Daphnia pulex: one gene and its partner. The protein of the gene in region 1 purifies or fractionates together with the protein of each later gene. This does not show direct contact. Links are inferred from orthologs where the notes say so. Each region holds a gene or a part of one and is shown on either strand. Other genes may lie near its edges.

Region 1 (9,510 bases):
AATGGTAAATACTTACACTTTTAATACAGGACAAAAGCCTAAAAACTCGACAAGGTGTGCTTGCCCTTTTGACCGAGCTAGTCTTGGTTATTCCCGGGTGTTTGAGCCCTCATTTCAGTCAGTTGGTCCCAGGAATCCTCTTCTGTCTCAAGTATTTTTTTTTCCCGCTGGCATCGTCGTAACACACCGACCAACTAACTCTTTGATATATTACAGTGAAAGGAATGCGAGCTCTCCGATGAAAATAGATACTTTGCAATTTGTACACACGGTACTAATTCACCATCCGCCCGAAGTGGCTCACGAGCATATTGCAGCATTGTTGCCTTCTTTGTTGAGTGCTGTATCCGATCCGTTTTACAAGATCACATCCGAAGCTCTTTTGGTTCTCCAGCAGTTGGTAAATGTTTTTGACTGAAATATTTATTTGGAATTCACTTTAAATGCTTCTATTTTTATAAAGGTGCGAGTGATGCGTCCATTGGATTCAGCCACCACATTTGACTTTACACCATACACAGTCTCCATTTATGATAGCGTACTAGTCCGGCTAAAAGCTGCTGATTTGGACCAGGAAGTCAAAGAGCGCGCCATTTCATGCATGGGTTTCATAGTTTCTCATCTGGGAGATCACCTTGCTGGTAAGAAATTAAAAATGATAAATTCTGCATACTTTTGAATTCACAACTTCTTTGCTCAGATCAACTAATGGTATGCCTCCCCATCTTTTTGGATCGTCTTCGAAACGAGATTACCCGGTTAACGACAGTCAAAGCTTTAACAAAAATTGCTTCGTCTCCGTTACACATCAATATAAGCCCATTGTTGCCCGAAGCACTTCCAATTCTTGCGGGATTTTTGCGTAAGAACCAGCGGGCACTTAAACTAACTACCCTTGCTTTGCTCGATCGTATCGTCAACAACTACAGGTAATAACTTACTTAAAAGTTTTATGTTTTTCCTCTTGGTTCCCTTTAAGACTTCTCTTTCTTTGTTTTTTTTTTAGCGCTGCGCTAACACCGGAACTACTGCATGCGGTTTTAACCGAAATACCGCCTCTGCTGTCGGAATCTGATTTGCACATCGCGCAGCTAACCCTTCATTTGCTCACTTCTGTTGCGCGGAATCAGCGTTCGGCGTTTCAAACCGGTGGAGTTAATGGAGGCATTTTGTCCGAAGTCTTCAATCTCTTGCGCTCACCTTTGCTTCAAGGTGTGGCTCTGGGATCCCTTCTCGATTTCCTACAGGCTTTGGTCGAGTTTAATGCTCCGGGTTAGTGATTTTTTTTCTCTTAATTTCAACTGTATTACTTAGAAGACAACTTATTAACAATATTAACTGTTCACTTTTACTTTCCATTCAGGATCTGGTCTTGGCTACCGCGATTTGTTGATGTGTCTGATGAATTTGGCGTCAAAACCTGGTCTCCACAAGACTGCCCATCATTCTGTCGCCCAGGCTGTTGCTTCACTGGTTGTGACGCAACCTGTTTCTGAAGCTTTTACTTTGGTACAGAATTTTCTTCAGGAAGCTCAGAGACCTCATTCTGATTGGCAACACATCTTTGCCCTGCTCTGCATGGGAGAAATTGGCAAAAGAATGGATCTTCACCAAGTCCCAGGGTTGGGACAAGCAATCATCGATTCCTTCGGCCCACCAAATGAAGAAGTATTTCTAATCTTTTCTAACGTCAACATCAATCTATATCCGTTTTCTTTAGGTAAAATCTGCAGCTTCGCACGCCCTCGGTTCAGTAGCAGTGGGAAATCTTCCAGCTTTCTTGCCCTTCATTCTTACTCAGATTGAAACTCAATCACGGCGTCAGTATTTGTTGCTCCACTCGTTAAAGGAAGTGATTACTTCGCTGTCACTTGGAACCGAGGCCATTGCACAACTGCGCCCTTTCGTACCCCAAATTTGGGATCTTCTCTTCCGTCACTGCGAGTGTAACGAAGAAGGAACACGCAATGTTGTGGCGGAGTGTTTGGGAAAGCTTACTCTCACAGACCCAGAGGGATTGCTTCCACGACTTCGAGCAGCTCTGAACAGCCCTAGTGCGTTGATGAGAACCACGATCGTCACAGCAGCCAAATTCACAATTTCTGATCAAGTCCAGTCCATTGATCCTCTGCTGAAGCAATGTATGGGCGATTTCCTTCAAACCTTACAGGTAATGATCAATTTCATTGGGGTTGATTAGAACGGATCAGTATTTAATTGATTCTGTAATAGGATGATGACTTGAATGTGCGACGAGTGGCATTAATTGCCTTTAATTCGGCAGCACACAACAAGCCTTCCTTGGTCCGAGACTTACTCGATTCCGTTTTGCCTCAGCTCTATAACGAAACCAAAGTCAGAGTAAGTATTCTAGTGATGGAATCAATTTCTTAAAACTAAAATATGCTAAATAAAAAAAAATTATAACTAATTATAATTTTTAGAAAGAGTTGGTCCGCGAAGTGGAAATGGGTCCCTTTAAGCACACCGTTGACGATGGTCTTGACCTTCGTAAAGCCGCTTTCGAATGCATGTATACCCTTCTGGATTCATGTCTTGATCGATTGGATGTTTTCGAATTTTTGAATCACGTTGAACTGGGATTGAAAGGTTGGTGTTTTGTTTCTTGGAACAAAAACGATGTTACTTACAGCTCACGTTCATTTACAACTTCTTACAGATCACAACGACATCAAAATGCTGACTTATTTAATGGTTGCCCGTCTGGCCACGTTGTGTCCTACTGCCGTTCTTCAACGCCTCGATCGATTAGTCGAACCCCTACGAACTACTTGCACGGCTAGAGTTAAGGCGAATGCAGTCAAACAAGAATATGAAATGCAAAATGAACTTAAGGTGATTGATTTATTACTTTATAGAACCGAATCAAATGAATTGGTAATCAAACGAAATATTTAAAATAGCGATCTGCCATGCGAGCCGTGACTGCATTGCTGATCATTCCTGATTCGGACAAAAATCCACAACTTAACGAGTTCGTTCTGCATATTCGTTCATCACCCGATCTTCAGGTAACTAAATAACAACTGCCAAAAACCAGCACGTACTATTCGCCTAAACTTAAAATTTTTACACTTACCATTTTCAGACTCTTTTCGACTCGATCCAGAAAGATGGCTCCGGACATCATGGAAATGCTGCAGGTGGATCCAGTGATTCGAACATGGATTTAAGTTAAAGTGGTGTATAATTATGTATCTATTATCGAAAAAATCGGATCGGGGAATTGTCACGAATGAAACATTGTTTCGTTCTTTTCTTTGAAATGTCTATGGTGGATGAAAGGGAAGTAGGGGTACATGTATTAACCATTCTTCTTGAACGGATGCGTTGAACATTGTTTAAGTTCAGTTCCACTACGATGCACTTTTCAGCACGGTGTGTATCTTTTTCTGAGAAAAAAAGATCTGTTGCGTTATTTCATCTTTTCCCCCATGTCATTTTAGATATTCAAAATCGAGAAATACAACTTTCCTGCAAAATGTTAATCGTATTTAATGTTCAAAACCTAAATTTGGTGAACATCGTTTATACAAGATAAGAACCACTTACATAGTACAAATGATAAATGTATTTCGCTCACCATGAAAGCTTTTCAACGTTGCTTCACAAATCCAAGAAACCGAGATAACGGTCGTTATGAAAAACTGCGTAATATTAGAAGGGAAAAAAATTGGCGCTGGTAGATTTTTCTACATTTCATACCCGTTCAGGACAGAACACAACTGCTCTTTTCGTTTCCATTACTGCTATCTGCTTTCTCCATTTCCGTTATCAGTCGGTTAAAAATTTCGCAGACAGACTAGAGATGAAAGGAAAAAAAAAAAAATTCTTAATAGAAAGTACAATTTCAAATCTCCAAATGAATATTAATCAGCATACCTCGTGTGACCTAGCAGAAACTTCATAAAATGAGGCTTTCCAAGTGTCGGCAAGCCTTTTGCCCTCTTCTGTGCTGACTACTCTTTCACGGTGAAGGTCTGTTTTATTACCAACAATAACAAGAGGTATTCTATAGTGATGAAAAGAAACTGGTTGTCAGACATAAAATTATTGAGTGATGAAATGCTACCTTAGAGAAACTTACGTGATTTTACCAGTCATATCCATAATCTTTTCTAGCAAAACTTGTAACAGCTCAAAGCTTTGAACTGAAGTAATGGAATATACAAGTACATAACCATGCATGTCCATTGAATGTTGAGCTGGGAAAATAGCATATTCATCTTGACCAGCAGTATCCACCAACTTTAGCTCAAAATCTTGCCCTCTTACTTTCCATGGTTTGGTGAAGGCTGGATTTCAGTCAAGACAAAACAAAAATTAAACAGTGTTCCTTTACAACACAAACAAGGAGCATACTGTTTTCAATTGTAGGGTCATAAGAATCAACAAATTGATTTTCAACAAATTGGATGGTCAGTGAAGATTTTCCTAGGTAAATGAAAATTATAAAAAATAATCTAACATGATCTTTCAACTGCAACAACTTACCAACTGAGCGGTAGCCCATAATTGCAATCTTCCTCTGTTTTCTTTGAGGTGGCATGTTGGACTAGTATTTCCCAAGTTATGCAAGTATGTATGGCGAGTGCTTCTTACGTCATGCACTACAAAATACAAACAACACTTATATTTCAAAGCATATACTTTCAATAAGGAATGGTGAAAGAAATCAATGGCCACCACTTGCAACAGCATTTAAAAAATATTTTCATAAGGTACTTCATTAAGTTCATTATAAATACCAAGTAAGTTTAATACCTTCTTGTTCTGTGCTGCTAAAACGTTTCCTTTTAGATTTTTCTTTTGCAATACAAGAAAAGATTTTTACGGATCAAAATAACGTGTTTTCTGTTTAGTTAGTTGGACAGCTTCTTTACTGATTACAGCGTTGCAACAAGTACTGTTGTGGAGATAACAAATATGCGTATAAAATTTAAATAAAATATAAATAAATTAGAGTTTAAATTATAAATTTATAATACGCATCTTAAATGAACTTTACACTCAAATCTAAATAATATTACATGTAAAAAATACCAAACAGAGACTCCGTCTATAGCGACTGTCCCAAACAAGTTTTTTACTATGCTCTGCAAACTGTTTTGTTTTTCTGAACTTACAGATCGAGCGCTAGATGGCGAGCAAACTTCTGCACGTGAATCAGCACACACTGAAACAGTTTGCCGAAGGTTTGCACGTGATCAGCACACGCCGAATCGTGGCAAGTCGAAAATGGTAATTTCAATGCCAGATATTACCAAAGCCGAAACTGTAAATGGAAAAACTTACCATGAGAATTTCGTCAAACTAATTCGATTTCGTTAATCCTTCTTATTGCACAACTGAATGAGCCCTAGACATTATGAACTTTCATGTCCTTCGGGGAAGACCAATTGGTATCATGTGGTCACAGCATGGAGTATGCAGAGACATGATCACTTGGCTATGCCTACGTCAATTTCCAACAACCAGCTGATGCTAAGATAACAATAGTGAGTGAAGACTTATCGTTTATCCTTCTTATCGTACAACTGAATGAGCCCTTAGTCTACTGTATTGATTAAGTGAAAGTTGAGGAGTTGAAAAATTTTATTTGTTTAGTAGCAATGCAGTAGTACAATTTCTGTGTTTTATTTCAATTTGAAGTAAAATTATTCGTAATTGCGCCTACGGTGTTGTATGTCCAGTTTGCTTTCTCGCTGGCGACGTTGATGTTCTTCTCTTAGTTGTTCTCATCTATTATCTTCATCATTTTGACGCTCGAACTGACGACGCGGATCAATTTGTGGCTCCCGTTGTTGTTGAGAGTCCCGTTGTTGTTGAGAGTCCCGTTGTTGTTGCTCCCTTAGTTGTTGTTGCTCCCTTAGTTGTGGCTCCCGTAGAATGAGACGTGGTGGTTGTAGGACAAATCGTGTTTGTTGTGGTTGTTGTTGTAGGGAGTATAGATTTTGTTGAGGAATGTTATGGGGCGGTTGAGGAGTGTGTTGAGGCAAATACTGAAAAAAGTTGAAAAGGTCGGCGAGTAATGGAGGGAGCACAAACATGAGCATATGGAGTACTGGCACTGTACACAGTACCGCAGTCAGTATTTTGGAGGGACCGGGCAGGAGCGGCCGGAAAAAGGATGACCAACAAGAAGAACAAAAAAGACGGGCAACGTCATCGCCACAGCAACGCAAAGTGGAGTTTAACGCCAAAAAATTCCGCATGTACACAAAAAAAAAAAATGAAAAATAGAAGAAAAATAGTCAGTTTTCAGCTGTTTACTTTTGCTTCTTCCTAGCTTGAGTAGGTCGTATGAGTCTCGATCCTGATTCTAAATTATTAAATATTATAATTTTCTTTTTCTTTTAAGAAAATGTATAGGAAATTTAGTTACCTTTAGTCATTCCGGAAACGTATCCCTCAACTGTTGCTTCTCTCGAAGTGGGGAATCCCACAAAGTCAGTTGGCACATAGGGTTTAGTTTTTTCCATGAACTCTTCACCGGTGACCAATGTGAAATTCGGCTCAACACCTTCACTGTTCAATACATGTACGCCAGTTGTATACGCTGTAACTGACGACGCGGATCAATTTGTGGCTCCCGTTGTTGTTGAGAGTCCCGTTGTTGTTGCTCGTGTTGTTGTTGTTGCTCCCTTAGTTGTGGCTCCCGTAGAATGAGACGTGGTGGTTGTAGGAAAAATCGTGTTTGTTGTGGTTGTTGTTGTAGGGAGTATAGATTTTGTTGAGGAATGTTATGGGGCGGTTGAGGAGTGTGTTGAGGCAAATACTGAACAAGTTGGTATGTCGGTATTGGAATGTTGGGCATGAATGGCATGAATATGGGAATGTTGATTATTGAAATTTGCTCGAGCATGAAACTGTTGAACAGGTGGGAATTGTTGAGTGGATGTTCCACGAGTTTGAAAATGTTGAGAATGTGTAGCATGAAAATGGACAGCTCGACGATAATTAGGCTCCTTAGGTAATGAATAGTATTGCCACATCAAAGTTGTTTTCCTGGGTCCCCATCCAAACCCTTCAATTGGTGGATACTATTGAAGGATGAAAACATAAGTTAAGAAAGTGAAATTGTTGTTAACAAGGTGAAAATATAATGTACCAGGTGGTGAGGGAAAGCCCACGAATATTGAACAACAGCGTTGTTAAAAAGATAATAAAATCCAGGACGATACAGGGGATCCAGAACTTTCAAACTGCGTTGAATCTCTCTGTGTGCATTGCATTGTTCTACAAAACTGAGGGGTTGTAACAGTAAGGCTTTGAAATGTTGAATCTTTCTTTGATGATAACTACTTCCATTCACAACTCCCGCTTTTGCAATATCTTGCATGGAAATCACCATTTTTGACTTAGCACGACTCGGCGTGTGCTGCTCACCTGATGCTGATCACAAACGTTTGGCAAACTGTTTCAGCGCGTGCTGACCTTGCCGCCTTCAAAGAGTTTGCAGCTTTTGATGAAGATTGGTTCCTCACCCGCATGGTATCTCTGGTCAGGCATATTTACATCAGGTCTCCCATTGGAGTCAAGAACGTTAAGAGAATCTATTGAGATTGAGCGCACCTGATGTTGTTGTTGAGGGCGATGGTTCCGGTTAAAAAGTTGCTGTTGTTGCTGAGAGCGTTGGCGTTGTCGCACCTGATGTTGTTGTTGAGGACGTTGGTTTTGGTTCATATGTTGCTGTTGTTGCTAAGAGCGTTGGCGTTGTCGCAGCTTTTGGCGTTCACGATTGCGTTTCCTTTTTTCTCTTGGGAGAGAGTGGTAGAGCAACATCAACTCCACTCTTCTTCCACCCCAGCCAGGACCAACAATCGGGGTTTGATGTAAAGGTTAGTAAGATGAAGTGAAGGCAAGATATGATGAATACATAACCAAAATATAAATACATACCGTATCAAAATACCATGTGTTGTGTACTACAGCATTATTAAACTGGTACTCAATGCCAGAGCGATATGTTGGTTCCAATTGGTTCAAACTTAAAAAAAAAACTGCTGAAATTTTATTTATTTTAAATACAAAGGATATTCTCTCATCTGTCATGGTGGATCCAGCAATTAATAAAACCCTTCTGTTACGAGTTTGATAGGCACACCCATGAGTAAGGTCGGTATAACGATGTTTAATTTTAAAATTTATTCAAGAAGAAAAATGCGATTTAACGAAAAAGTAATTGTTATTGTCCGAAAATGTTGGTTTGAATTTTTAACTGCATGCTACGACTTGTGTTTCCTTCTTTTTACCGTCTCCCCATGTGTCTCCGAAAATGTGGGTTTAAATCTTCAACTGCATGCTACGACTTGTGGATTTCCCTTCCTTTTCTGTTTTTTTAAAAATACGTCTTCGGATAGTGTTATGTAGTCTTTGCTGGACTTGTCTTTTTTTGAATTTTTTGTCGTTTGAAAAAAAGCTTAGCTAAAATCGTGCACGGCGACCAGCCGACTATCCCATTCGAGAACAAGCAATGGTGCTTCCTAATTAGGTAGGTAAGTGGAAAATTATAAAGGTAAGGTAAGTGATTAAGCTCGTGCTCATTGAAAAATACTATTAGAAAGTAAATGAAGTTGTGCGAAACCTCTTTATTCATGCACTACTCAACTCTATAGTACGCAACGTGGGATTAATGTTCTTCCGCGATCGTTGAATTTTTCTGTATACTAGATTTTCCGTTTAATTTCCACATTTTTGCTAAATTACCTGTTTTTTTTTTTTAAATAATTTTTTTGCAATTTTTTTACATTTTATTTCAGCAATTGTTATTAAGTATAACTTTACCTTTGACGTCATCACTATTTCATTAATTTTCAATCGTTTTATTGTGTTTGATCTCTGTTAGATGTGGTTTGATTTTTAATCGCTGTGAAAAACATTGTTTTTTTAAATCAGTGTATGATTTGGTTTGATTTATGTTTGATACATTTGATCCATGTTTGATTTATGTTTAAATATTTTTGTATTCCTTTGTATGCTTATAGAAAGACAAAAACCGCACCTTATAAGAACGATTGATTTTTTTGACACGTTTATTTGTCTTTCAAGTTCCAAGTCAGACTAAGCGCCTTTTAATGATAAAACGCTTCGCATGTAAGGTTTAAAAAACTAAGGAAATTTAATTGCACTTTTAATTGTAAGTTGTAAGTAATTAAGTAAAGCTGTAAAGTGGTAAAAAATGCATCGTTCTTGGCGTCGCTTGTACTACTGTTTAGTACACTTATTTTTACTCTGAAATTTCAGTAGCTTCTGCTCGAAATTTTAATTGTGTGCTCGAAATTTGTCCGCATCAGCAAAAAGATTGATTTGTCGTTCGCAACGACTGCAAATTGGCCCACTCATTATCGGCAACGGCTTCTTTGATATCACGATTCTGGATTGCAGAATAATAAGTAAACCGACTGATAGTGTTACTTGCCTAAAAAAAGAGGAATTATGCGAGGGGTCGCCGACTCATTTACTAAGTGAACCAAGGGGAAAATTGGC
Region 2 (10,236 bases), on another chromosome or scaffold:
TCTAGGATCCATGAACTTGATGTCACCCGCCAGACTTGAGAAAAAAAAACAACTATTAGTTATCAAACGTAATTTCATACAATGTAACGATTAATACGATGAGATGATTGTTACCTGCCACTCACTAAGTTGGCACCTCCTTCAACCGAAATCCATTCGCAATCTATGACCCAAGCAGCATGCTCCCTCCAAGTCATAACTCTAGATTTTGCAGCGCTGCATCGCTGATCAAAAAGGCGGACTGATCCGTCTCCACATGACGCTACAAAGAGCGATCGATCTGAAGACAAAATTATCAATTTAATTTGCGCAAACGATTATATAAATTTCTTAAACTTGGTCAAAACCTCGCGGGTTATGATGAACGGAGGTCACACAATTTTCTGAACCAGTAGGAAAGTCGCTGACTTTCAATTCACGCTCTACGTCCCAAATGCGGATCAAGCGAACATCGCCTGTTGCTAGCAATTGTAAAGAATCCTGATTCCAATCCAAAACCAGACCGGAACATCGAGTCGATGGTGCCATTTCAGCTATACAGTTCCATGCTGAAACAAGAGAAACTCCAGTGTGATCTTCGACAACAGCATTTGCTGATCGAGATCCTGTTCGAATAAAATCCCGCCAGATTCTGCACGACCCATCATCTGCACCAATAAGAAGTAACGCATCATCATGTCCGTTCACAAAATCCATTGATGTAATTCGAGCAGCCCTGGGTTGTTGTTGATTGTTAAAATGGACAAGACGGACGCTTCTTTCCCAGTCCCATACTCTGCATTATAGAACAATTTTCGTCGAGCACAGAAAAACTTTTATCACCATAAAAGAATTGTTTCTTACGTGCATCCTTCTTTATCTGCTACAGCAAGCCAAGGATCGTAGGGATGAAAGCGGATAACTGAAGGTACCAGTGGATTCCGATTGCAGAAAACCTCTTTCATTTTTGCTTTATTTGGTCTAAATAAATAAACATAGAATTTTAAATTAAAAAACCAGGTAAAAACCCTGAAATTGAGTTCACCTTTGACATTCTTCTTTAGCTTCATGGCGAACGGAAGCATTTCTTGTATATCGCCATTCGCGCGTGTAGTACATTTCAGTGTCTCGTTCACGTGTTCTCCCGCATATCTAGTTGAGAACAAAAAAATATATCAATAATAATTCTAAAAAATCATAGAATCCATGTTGAGGTTGTACTTCGAATTCAATAGTTAATTCTTTTTCGTGATTGGGTTTCATATTGATTTGAAAATCTTCATTAGACGCAGCTGGTTCAGCAAAATGACGAGCGCACCATTCGACAAATCCGGTTACTACTAAAGGATCCTTCAACTCTTTGGAACTTTCACCTTCTTCCACAATCTAGCAACGAATAAATAATAATTGAGTAGTAGTAAGAAACATTCGGTTGAGGAAGCCAGTTCAAAATGTTATTACTGTAGATGGTATGCTTCGTTTCCTGATTCTGTTGAATGAGGGAGTAGTGCGTTGGACAAGGGCCCGTGGAGGAGAGTCCCCACTGAAACAAGTCTCAAATATATTCGTTATTTGTACGAGGTATTGTAATAGTATACAGCATTACATGTAGAGGGATTTATCCATAGAATCGTTACTCGAATTGGAATACGTATATTGACGACTAACGTCTGATTCCCGTGAAGCTATCACTTCTTTAGCCTGAAATATGCATGTTATGTTTAAGTGGCTGACCAACTGCGTAATTTTTAAAAAGGAAATACCTTATTCCGCACATAATCCGTTAATTTCTTTGCCATCGTAGAGACTTCCAGGTAAGGATCTTTTTCCATGCTTGAAAGTCCGTGCCAAAGTTTGACGTAAATAGTGTTAAAAGCAAGACTAGGCAAAGTGGAACTCGCTGCAAAAATAAAATTTAGAAATATTTTATTTTAATCAATTTTTGGCTTACTATTAAAATCTTACTAAGGCTACTGAGAGAGGAAATAGAAACCGCTCGTCTAATATGATCTGGATGCCCGGAGTTTGTGGAATGGGTGAAACCACTATCTGATAGTTCCGGACTTGTGCCTAGGTTCATCGCATTGGATGTGGAGGCCCGCGAACGACGCGTGGGCCTCTGTAGACTACCAGAAGAAGTTAACGTTACTTCCACGTTTGGAGAGAGACTGTTCGAGTCTTTATTCTTTTCCTCTTCTATCTGTTGAACAGCCATTTGAATGAACGTGGACTCGAATATCAAAACAATCCACTGGAGAGCGCCAACGATCTTTAGAAAGAAAATTAAATTTAACGAATATTCAATTCCCAAAGCGAAAAGAAGCTACTATACCTCTTTGCGAACCAAAGGACTAGCTTCCGAGTTCACAACATTCACCAGTTGTAAGGCCACTGCGTGATCAATTTTGTTGGCAAGTTCATTTCGTTCCGTCTTTCCTCCACTATGGATAAACGTTCCTAGGGCATAAGCAGTGGCCGCTCGAACCTTAACATACATAAACAAATAAGACTGAAATTCGACAGATTTAATGTCATATAATCAACAATGTTGTAAATACCTCAGGAACAGAATCTCGCAACAACGGAAATAGTTTCTCATGAGCGGAGTCTCGAATTGCCGACCAACGAGCAGCTATAGCATTGTGCCAAGCTAAGCCAATTCCAATGACGATCCATTGTCTAAGTAATTTATCCTTTTCATAGACCATTTCCAGGGCATTCGAGATAAAAGCTACTTGAGAAACAGCATCCTGCCCGATAGGATGATTCCAGACCACTCTAGAAATCACAAAGGCGGCCAGCGTGCGCTGATCATCCGGCACGGAATTATCTTGAAGAACAGAGAGGAAATATTTGTGTCCTCCATCACGGACTAAATCCGCTTGACAGGTAACATCAACAGCAAGAATTTTCGTCCAGATAAATAGAAGTAATGGGCGCAGTTCCCGCGCAGAACTTTGAAGTAACTAAAACGAAGATTTCAGTTATCGAGTAGAACATATTAAAATAGAAAAGCAAACCTTTAAAACATATGGAAAAATGCCGACCGACAGCGCCAAATTGACAGCCCAAGGGCCTAAATCTAAAAATCGCCCCAAGAGTTCAAGTGCTCTTAAACGATGAACTTGACTTAAAAGAACTTGCAGAACAATAGGTAGTTGTTCTGGAGGAGATCTCTTTTGTGACCCATGCGAAAGCCAAACTTGGAAAGCCGTCAACTGTTCCTCAAAAAAAGGGGAATTCTGGAAGGTTTCCTTGCCTTCTAAAATGCCTGGTAGCTGTGAGAGGCAAATGTCAAGAGCTAAATCCCAAGCAGACCACATTGGGTGCTAAAATCAAAGAATGCCGAAATTATAAGACATTTAAATAATGTGAAAAGGTAACTTTAAATCCTAATAACCTGAGACGTAGGAGGCAACTTTGGCCAAGAGACTGGCGTGCAGTCATACGACTTAAGTATCCTTTCTGCTAAAAGGAAATTCCGGAAAAGACTAGCCACAAGAAGATCTTGTCTGAAAAGGCGCTGGAACACGTCCCGTGGAAGTGAATTCCAAGCAATCGTATCAGTTATAGCGGTAAAAATCCAATTTAATTCACCCAGCATAGTTCTGCGATCGTTAAGCTGCCCGGGGATTTTGTCGACTGATTCAAGTGTCATTCGGGGCACCAAACGGGAAGTATTTTGTAAAACAAACCATCGAAGTGCAATCTTTTGATATAGGGGAAAAAATGGAATAGTACATTAAATTTCCAATTTATCTTAAAACATATTCTAGTTACCTTAATAGGAGTTGTGAGACATGCAGTAAATATATCAGCTGGCAGTTCGGAATTCATAGGAAGAATCTGATTAGTTGCGCATGCAGCCAACTGAATGCACTGTTTGAAATTCGGAGGTGGTGTCATCTGAGAAGGCAATGTGTTTCTTGATTGAGCCATCAGTTGTTCGTACTCCCTCTGATGCTGATCCGCGAACTGTTGAAACGCGTCCACAATCATGCCAGCGTTTGAACAGTCAAATACGTAAATTGACGGAGACCACATCCAAGTTTGTAGGTCGTAAATCGAGAGCGGTATATATTGCGTATAACTGCGATTGAAGACCCAAATCTCTCCATTGGCAGTTGGTTTCGGAACGCCATGCCCATTGTAGTGAAACAGCACTCTTTCGTCTTTAGCATTTCTTCGGAGAGTAGATGTTACTTTTTTAATCTGACATTTATGAATTACAACATTAATCACAATTATTCTTTTCTAAACAAACAAGAATTTTTCGGTTGTACCTCATCAGCGGTAGGATCTAGAGTTTGCTTGTAGCGAGCACGGGGCTGCCACCTCTCATATTGCTTCTGAAGGTTGATGCCAATTGCTTCTAATGCTTTTTGTGGACTCATAGACAAAGGATCTACACATTGAGGAAAATTGCATTAAAAAAGCAACAACACTACACACACAACCCTTTACAAATCACATACCTATCCAGCATTCTAGCCTTGCACAGGGCTGAGTTTTAACTACATCTGGAGGATCTACTCCAACATTAAGGCATAATATCAATGCCACACTTACTGTTTTCATCTTGAATTTAAAAAAAATAAAAGAAATCCTATTTTATTAAGCCGTACATGCACAATTGTGTGGAGAAAAAATTACAAAATGCTATTTAAATTTTGATTTTGGACGGGAAAGGTAACTTAATAAATGCATGGGTTACCCGATCCTTTAATCTCCAGTTTTGAGCACAATCCTCTAATCCTTCAATTTTATCTGTGTGCCTTTCTGAAGAAAATGCTAATCCAATCGCCCAATCTTCATCTTCTTCATCTTGGCCCTGTTCATCGGGAGAAGGTGAACGTGATGGAGCACGCTGGAAAACCGAGAGCTCCCCCGACATGGTCATCTATTCAACGATTTATCAGATTTCTTATCCAAAAATTTAGATAAATCTGAAAAACCACAAAACAAAACGAACTCTTGATGAGCTACACATTCACCCGACTGGAAGTGACAATATATTCATATTATTACGACACGAATTCAAATTGTTTCTCTTGTTGTGTGAGTGCAGACGGATTTTGGTTTATTTTTTACGACGAAAAAATGAATCCAACACAACTACACAAGGTTGCCATTTTCTATTCGACATAAAATGGAAGCTATCTCATCATTCTCATGCCACAGGCACGCCACAGGCCCACAGAATTCGTAATCGTATACACCCCAATTTTTTTCCTTATTATAAACTTATATATAATTCATGTGTCTGTTTTTTTTAGTATGTTTACTCTCTGGCCCACCATTCCCCTTAAATGTCACCAAAAACAAAATTTACGGAAAAAGTCTGTCTGGTACTCTGGTTACTAAGGAGGTTACGCCTCTCTTAACAGATGTCTCTTCAATAGCGCCGGCTGCGGCGCCAAAACAGACCGAATTTCCATGAAAATTCTTGGTCATGAAGGACGCTTTTGAAAGCCAAAAGCCATTGAAAATTACATGAATAATTGTGTATTCGCTTTCTAATTGTCACATTGAAGTAAAAAGAAATGAACTGGAGTGGTGGATCCAAACACCGTTTCCGGCTAAATACTGAGATTCGTAAAACTGCCTTTCAACAACAGAGTCGCATAATTCTCGTTGACCTCGTGAAGCATGACGATCTTGAACAAACCGGTCAGATTTCCCCAATCAATGGACAGAAGTTTACAATGATTCCTCCTAAAGTAACAGCCAATTTAATGACACTAAAGATGGGAGTATTTATTAAATATGTATTTTGCAGGTAGAGGCAGTTTCAAATGATGATATCTCAATACGTCATTTTGGGATTGGAACTCCATTTCACAACATTCCTTGTGGATCTTCATCAGGTCTACATCAATACATTACTCGATTAAAAAATTTCAAATAATTGTGTTACTCTATATAGATACTGAAGGATCTGGCAATGATGACATATCAATAAGTACAAAATATAGTCCTGTTTCATTAGACCAGGAAAGTACAGCTGAGCATCACATAACAAGCACATCTGAAGAGGAACAAACAAAAGTTCCATTAAGTCACAAGGTTAATGAACTTTATGAGGATTCAAACCCTGGTGAGGTTCTTTTACTACAAGAAAGTTCACCGTCAGGATGTAGTTCATTTCTCAGCAACTCAAATGTTGAATGTCCTTCTCCACCTTATCTCAACCCAAATCCTTACTCTTCAACACCAAATTTGAGTTTTCTAACTCCCGTCATACATCGCGAGAACACTGTAAGACATTCAAGCAAAGATCGACGTTTTTGTCAACAAAATTGGGATAATTCCAACCTTCACAATTTACCGTACTTGACACCCCTTACCGACGAACCAGTCATAATACAAGAAAACTCAATTTTTAAGAATCGAACTCAAACAGATAATCGAGAAGCTCCTTCAACAAAAAATCGCTCAATGTTTGTTCCAGTAGACGTCACTCCTGCTCAACGAAAACAAGTTCATTTCTATACTTCTGACCAAGAAAGTAGTACAGCTGAGCATAGAGTAAAGAACTTTTCTGAAGAGAATCAAGCTAATGTCTCGACTCCAGCCAGAGAGCAGTATGACGATTCTAGCGTGTATGCACCACGCAATAAAGATACCCTTGTCACCTCCATTGCCGGTTGTTCAACTCCCAGACCTTATTATGTAAACCAACATTTTCACTACCCAACACCAACTTTGGGCTCTACTACTACAGCAACACACCAGGAGAACCTCGTCGGATTTTCAACAAAAGATCAACGCATCCCTGGAATGAAAGATTCTCCCCTTCAGTATTTGCCGTGCTCCACATCGATTAACGACACAAAAACGACAATACCTTCTCAAACAACTCCCATTGGATCGAACGTTGATAATCATAATAATTCTGCTCAAGTAAACTGGTCGATGTTTCCGCCGTTAGTCGTCACTCCTGCTCAACAACGGCGCGTGCAATTTGCGTCATCCTCATCCGTTCCCCTTCAGAAAATGAAAGTTATTGTAAATAACACAGTTGTTCCTATGAAAGAGACTTCTAACTTGAATACTTCTATTCCTGGCACATCATTTCCAAATGGGTCGTCAATGGACTTCTCAAAATACGTGTCGCCCCCTAAGCAAGAACACGCTGTTGTGATCACAGAGGGAATTGTATCAGAGCAACACGAATATTGCAAAGAAGAAGCTATTAGTCTAGTCCAATCATCTAGCAAAATGGTCACAACCTATCCTGTTCATTCCCTCATTCATCCCCAGGACGGAACTACAAACGCCAATGAAAATAGTAATAACCAAGCTAATCCAAAGTTTACTACTCGAAAAAGAAAACAAAGCGTTGCTTCTTGGAAAACTTCAGTTCGCAAGAAATTTAACGGTAGATGCACTCATCATTGTCGTTGTCGTACCGTTATTCGAAAAGTCAAAATCCGTGACGCTGAAACTCAAACTTCTTAATTACTTCACTTGAAAGGCAGCGCTGTTTGTGTTTGTTTTAACATAAGTTACTTCCCCACGGTTTCTTCATTATTTTAGTTACGGTTTACTTCTTGATGTTTCAGTATTGTCCATGGTTAAAACTCGAGGAGAGTGAGAAACAAAATGTTTTTCTTACAATACAAGCAAATAATCAAAACACATATGGCTACGTAATACGTAATTCAATGTTATACATGACGGTATCAGCGTTTTTTCGTCTTACTTTTCTTCATCAACGAATTTGCAGTTTTAAATTCAACACCTAAAATAAAGATGTTTAATTTTCGGTTAACATAATTTTTGAAATGTGTGCTTACCAATCGAATTACAAATCCCTCTGGTTTGTTGATCCGTGTCTTCAGCCGTGTTGCCGGACAAAAACAGTACAATGGGCGAATTCTGGCTAGTTTTATAAACGTTTCTCTGGTTTGTATCCAGGTAACAGCAGCATTCCAGTATTTGGAACAATGTCCTTAAAGAAAACCAGAAGGTTAATCATTATCAATAGCACTTAGGAGTTAAGAAAGATGGCTCGTGTGCTCACCAGTTGGCTTTATCTTTTCGTTTCGGATAAGTCAATAATGGGATGACTTGGTGTTCGTTTTGACGCTGTGCTCTAATAAAGCGATTGCCGGTACGAAAGCAGGTTTCTAGCCACCGAATGCATTCCCGAACAGAAGAGCTTTCCCTCTGTATAACAAGAGAAAAAAAAATCATTAAATGCTGTAAGATCAACAATCAAGTAAATGAAAATACTTTGAGTTGATCAATTTCCGAGATGACAATATCAGGTACTACTACAATCAGCTTTTGGCTTTTGATCACTTGTTTTATGAGGTGAGTAAAATCTGAAAGAGCAGAGACGTCCGGTACCAAATAGACATAAGATAAAGTGGAAAGATCGAAGTTTGTCTTTTTTTTTCTTTTGAATTGAGGTGAGAGTCTCCGTTCAAGCTCTTGTACTTCTGACTTCAACCACAAGTGTGCCATGTTTCTCATCATGAGATCTGCTTTCATTCCCAGTTCCTGGGATTCATCTTTAGTTGCTTCGGATGGACACATGTAAATTCCGTTTTCCAGTCGGAAACTTTTTTCGTTGCCTTGACTTGCCAACCAATTGCCAAATTGGAGAATTCTTTCGATCCGAATAGAATTTAAAATTGAAATGTTGGATGGTGCAGGAACAGACTCAAAATCGATTTGAGCATGGAATAAGCTCATAGAATCCAGTCCATACAGCTTCCAATCTTCTTCTAAAGGAACTTTTTGGTACTGATCAACATCTTCTTTCTGACAGCGTTTAAACACGTTGAGGATGGTAGCTAGTGTTGCCCACATTTTTCGAATGGATTGATTTGATACTTGAACAACCTGAACATTGGCTTGTAACCAATCAGTCAAGAGTTTAAAAATCGGCAAAAGAGATACAGCTTCTGACGGGATTTCAATGAGCGGTTCAAGTTTAGCTTCAGCTGAATGAAAACCAGAATCGGATAAAACTTCTTCTTCTTCTTCAGAATCCTGCTCAGAGTTACTTTCTAAAAATATCTCTTCCTCTGAAAATTCTTGATCAGACGATCCAGATCCAATTTTTCTTCTTCTCAGTTTAGCGCGCTTAGTTTCTTCTTCCTCCTCGTCACTCAGTTCATCTTCATCAGCTTCTTCTTTACTCCCAGAGACGGGCTCTTTCTCTTTATCTGCATTATTTCCATTACGTTGGTCAGCATTCCCAGAGCTTAGATGGAAAATGTCTTGAAACTTGCTCAGAACGTGAGCGAAAAGTGAACAACAGAAGGCGATTGCAGCTGTTGGATTATGGTTTGATGAAGCGGGAGTTACAGTACACATCACCACGCAGGCAGCCAAATCCAAGAGTTGGTTACAACTCTCATTTTCGCTGCTACAGAGTCGTTTTTGAATTTCGCTTAAGGCCGCCTGACACAGCTTTTAAAAACCAATTAATTAATGCACAAACATTGAAACCAGAATTTTTGTTCAACTTACTTGGCTTACTTCAAAAGTATTTTCTTCTTTGCCTACAAAGACTAACTTTGGAAGTAATTGTGAAAAAGCGGAAATCAGTTTGTCTTCGTTCATGGCAAGACGTACTAATAAAGCCTTAAGATTAGGTTCAGCCCCAGGGAATATTTTTAAGGCTTTCATGCTTTAAAGAAAAACAAGTATTAACATTATACATACAGAAGCAACATAATAGTGTGCTATTGTACCTTCTTATATAGTAAAATATAGATTCACATCCTCTGGAAGGATCATGACTAGTCAAAGTCCCAAGTTGATTGTAAGGGAGACCAATACTAGGATTGACAAGAACTGCCTAAATAAATAAAAAGTTGACAGACATGAAAAACACATGTGATAATTAGTTTGTCTACCTGATGATAAAAGCGCTCTGCTGTAATTACACTGTTAGAAATTTCCAAATCATTTCTATAGCGGGACAAATCTCCTAACCTTTGAACAAAATTTTGATTAGCTTCTACAATCAAAGTATACGACAAAATTTTTTAACATACCAAACCAAAATCTTTTGGACTGATTCCATTAACTCTTCTTTGGACTCTTTATGTGTTTCACAATCAAGGATTTTAACTTCCAAGAGTGGTAAAACATGAAGTGTAAGTTTTGTGGCTGGGTCCACATTTTTTAGCTTTTGGCAAACATCTTGCATAAGCTCAGTAAACTTTACAATCCCCGATTCAATGTGATATCCAATAAAAAGTTTTTCCATTGAAGTAAGGGGTGACTTCTAGAATT

The links.
Region 2: the proteins of GTP-binding protein Rheb-like (region 1) and regulatory-associated protein of mTOR-like purify together in Homo sapiens (affinity purification with western blotting, with the first as the bait; 3 studies listed by BioGRID). This does not show direct contact. The link is inferred for Daphnia pulex from reciprocal best matches to the Homo sapiens genes RHEB and RPTOR.

Annotation. Positions count from the first base shown.
Region 1 is NC_060021.1:5,203,028-5,212,537, reverse strand, and holds GTP-binding protein Rheb-like, read right to left. Parts: upstream 4,928-9,510; 5' UTR 4,786-4,927; exon of another isoform or gene 4,770-4,785; intron 4,710-4,769; 5' UTR 4,571-4,709; coding exon 4,516-4,570; intron 4,456-4,515; coding exon 4,384-4,455; intron 4,317-4,383; coding exon 4,109-4,316; intron 4,034-4,108; coding exon 3,904-4,033; intron 3,824-3,903; coding exon 3,731-3,823; 3' UTR 3,575-3,730; downstream 1-3,574. Other genes in the region: cullin-associated NEDD8-dissociated protein 1-like, read left to right, coding at 30-151, 217-400, 464-641, 701-929, 1,007-1,272, 1,364-1,668, 1,721-2,170, 2,233-2,361 and 4 more; transcription factor SPT20 homolog, read right to left, coding at 6,554-6,799, 6,879-7,064, 7,459-7,722. UniProt on the Homo sapiens protein: Small GTPase that acts as an allosteric activator of the canonical mTORC1 complex, an evolutionarily conserved central nutrient sensor that stimulates anabolic reactions and macromolecule biosynthesis to promote cellular biomass generation and growth.
Region 2 is NC_060017.1:2,261,905-2,272,140, reverse strand, and holds the start of regulatory-associated protein of mTOR-like, read right to left. Parts: upstream 5,119-10,236; 5' UTR 4,880-5,118; coding exon 4,694-4,879; intron 4,558-4,693; coding exon 4,455-4,557; intron 4,385-4,454; coding exon 4,263-4,384; intron 4,192-4,262; coding exon 3,760-4,191; intron 3,689-3,759; coding exon 3,380-3,688; intron 3,309-3,379; coding exon 3,000-3,308; intron 2,946-2,999; coding exon 2,538-2,945; intron 2,465-2,537; coding exon 2,312-2,464; intron 2,249-2,311; coding exon 1,945-2,248; intron 1,880-1,944; coding exon 1,743-1,879; intron 1,681-1,742; coding exon 1,586-1,680; intron 1,523-1,585; coding exon 1,441-1,522; intron 1,366-1,440; coding exon 1,201-1,365; intron 1,132-1,200; coding exon 1,025-1,131; intron 961-1,024; coding exon 844-960; intron 776-843; coding exon 348-775; intron 281-347; coding exon 115-280; intron 35-114; coding exon 1-34. Other genes in the region: uncharacterized protein PB18E9.04c-like, read left to right, coding at 5,523-5,699, 5,759-5,846, 5,906-7,440; protein SMG5-like, read right to left, coding at 7,665-7,723, 7,779-7,933, 8,006-8,151, 8,218-9,405, 9,466-9,625, 9,690-9,796, 9,855-9,933, 9,996-10,228. UniProt on the Homo sapiens protein: Component of the mechanistic target of rapamycin complex 1 (mTORC1), an evolutionarily conserved central nutrient sensor that stimulates anabolic reactions and macromolecule biosynthesis to promote cellular biomass generation and growth.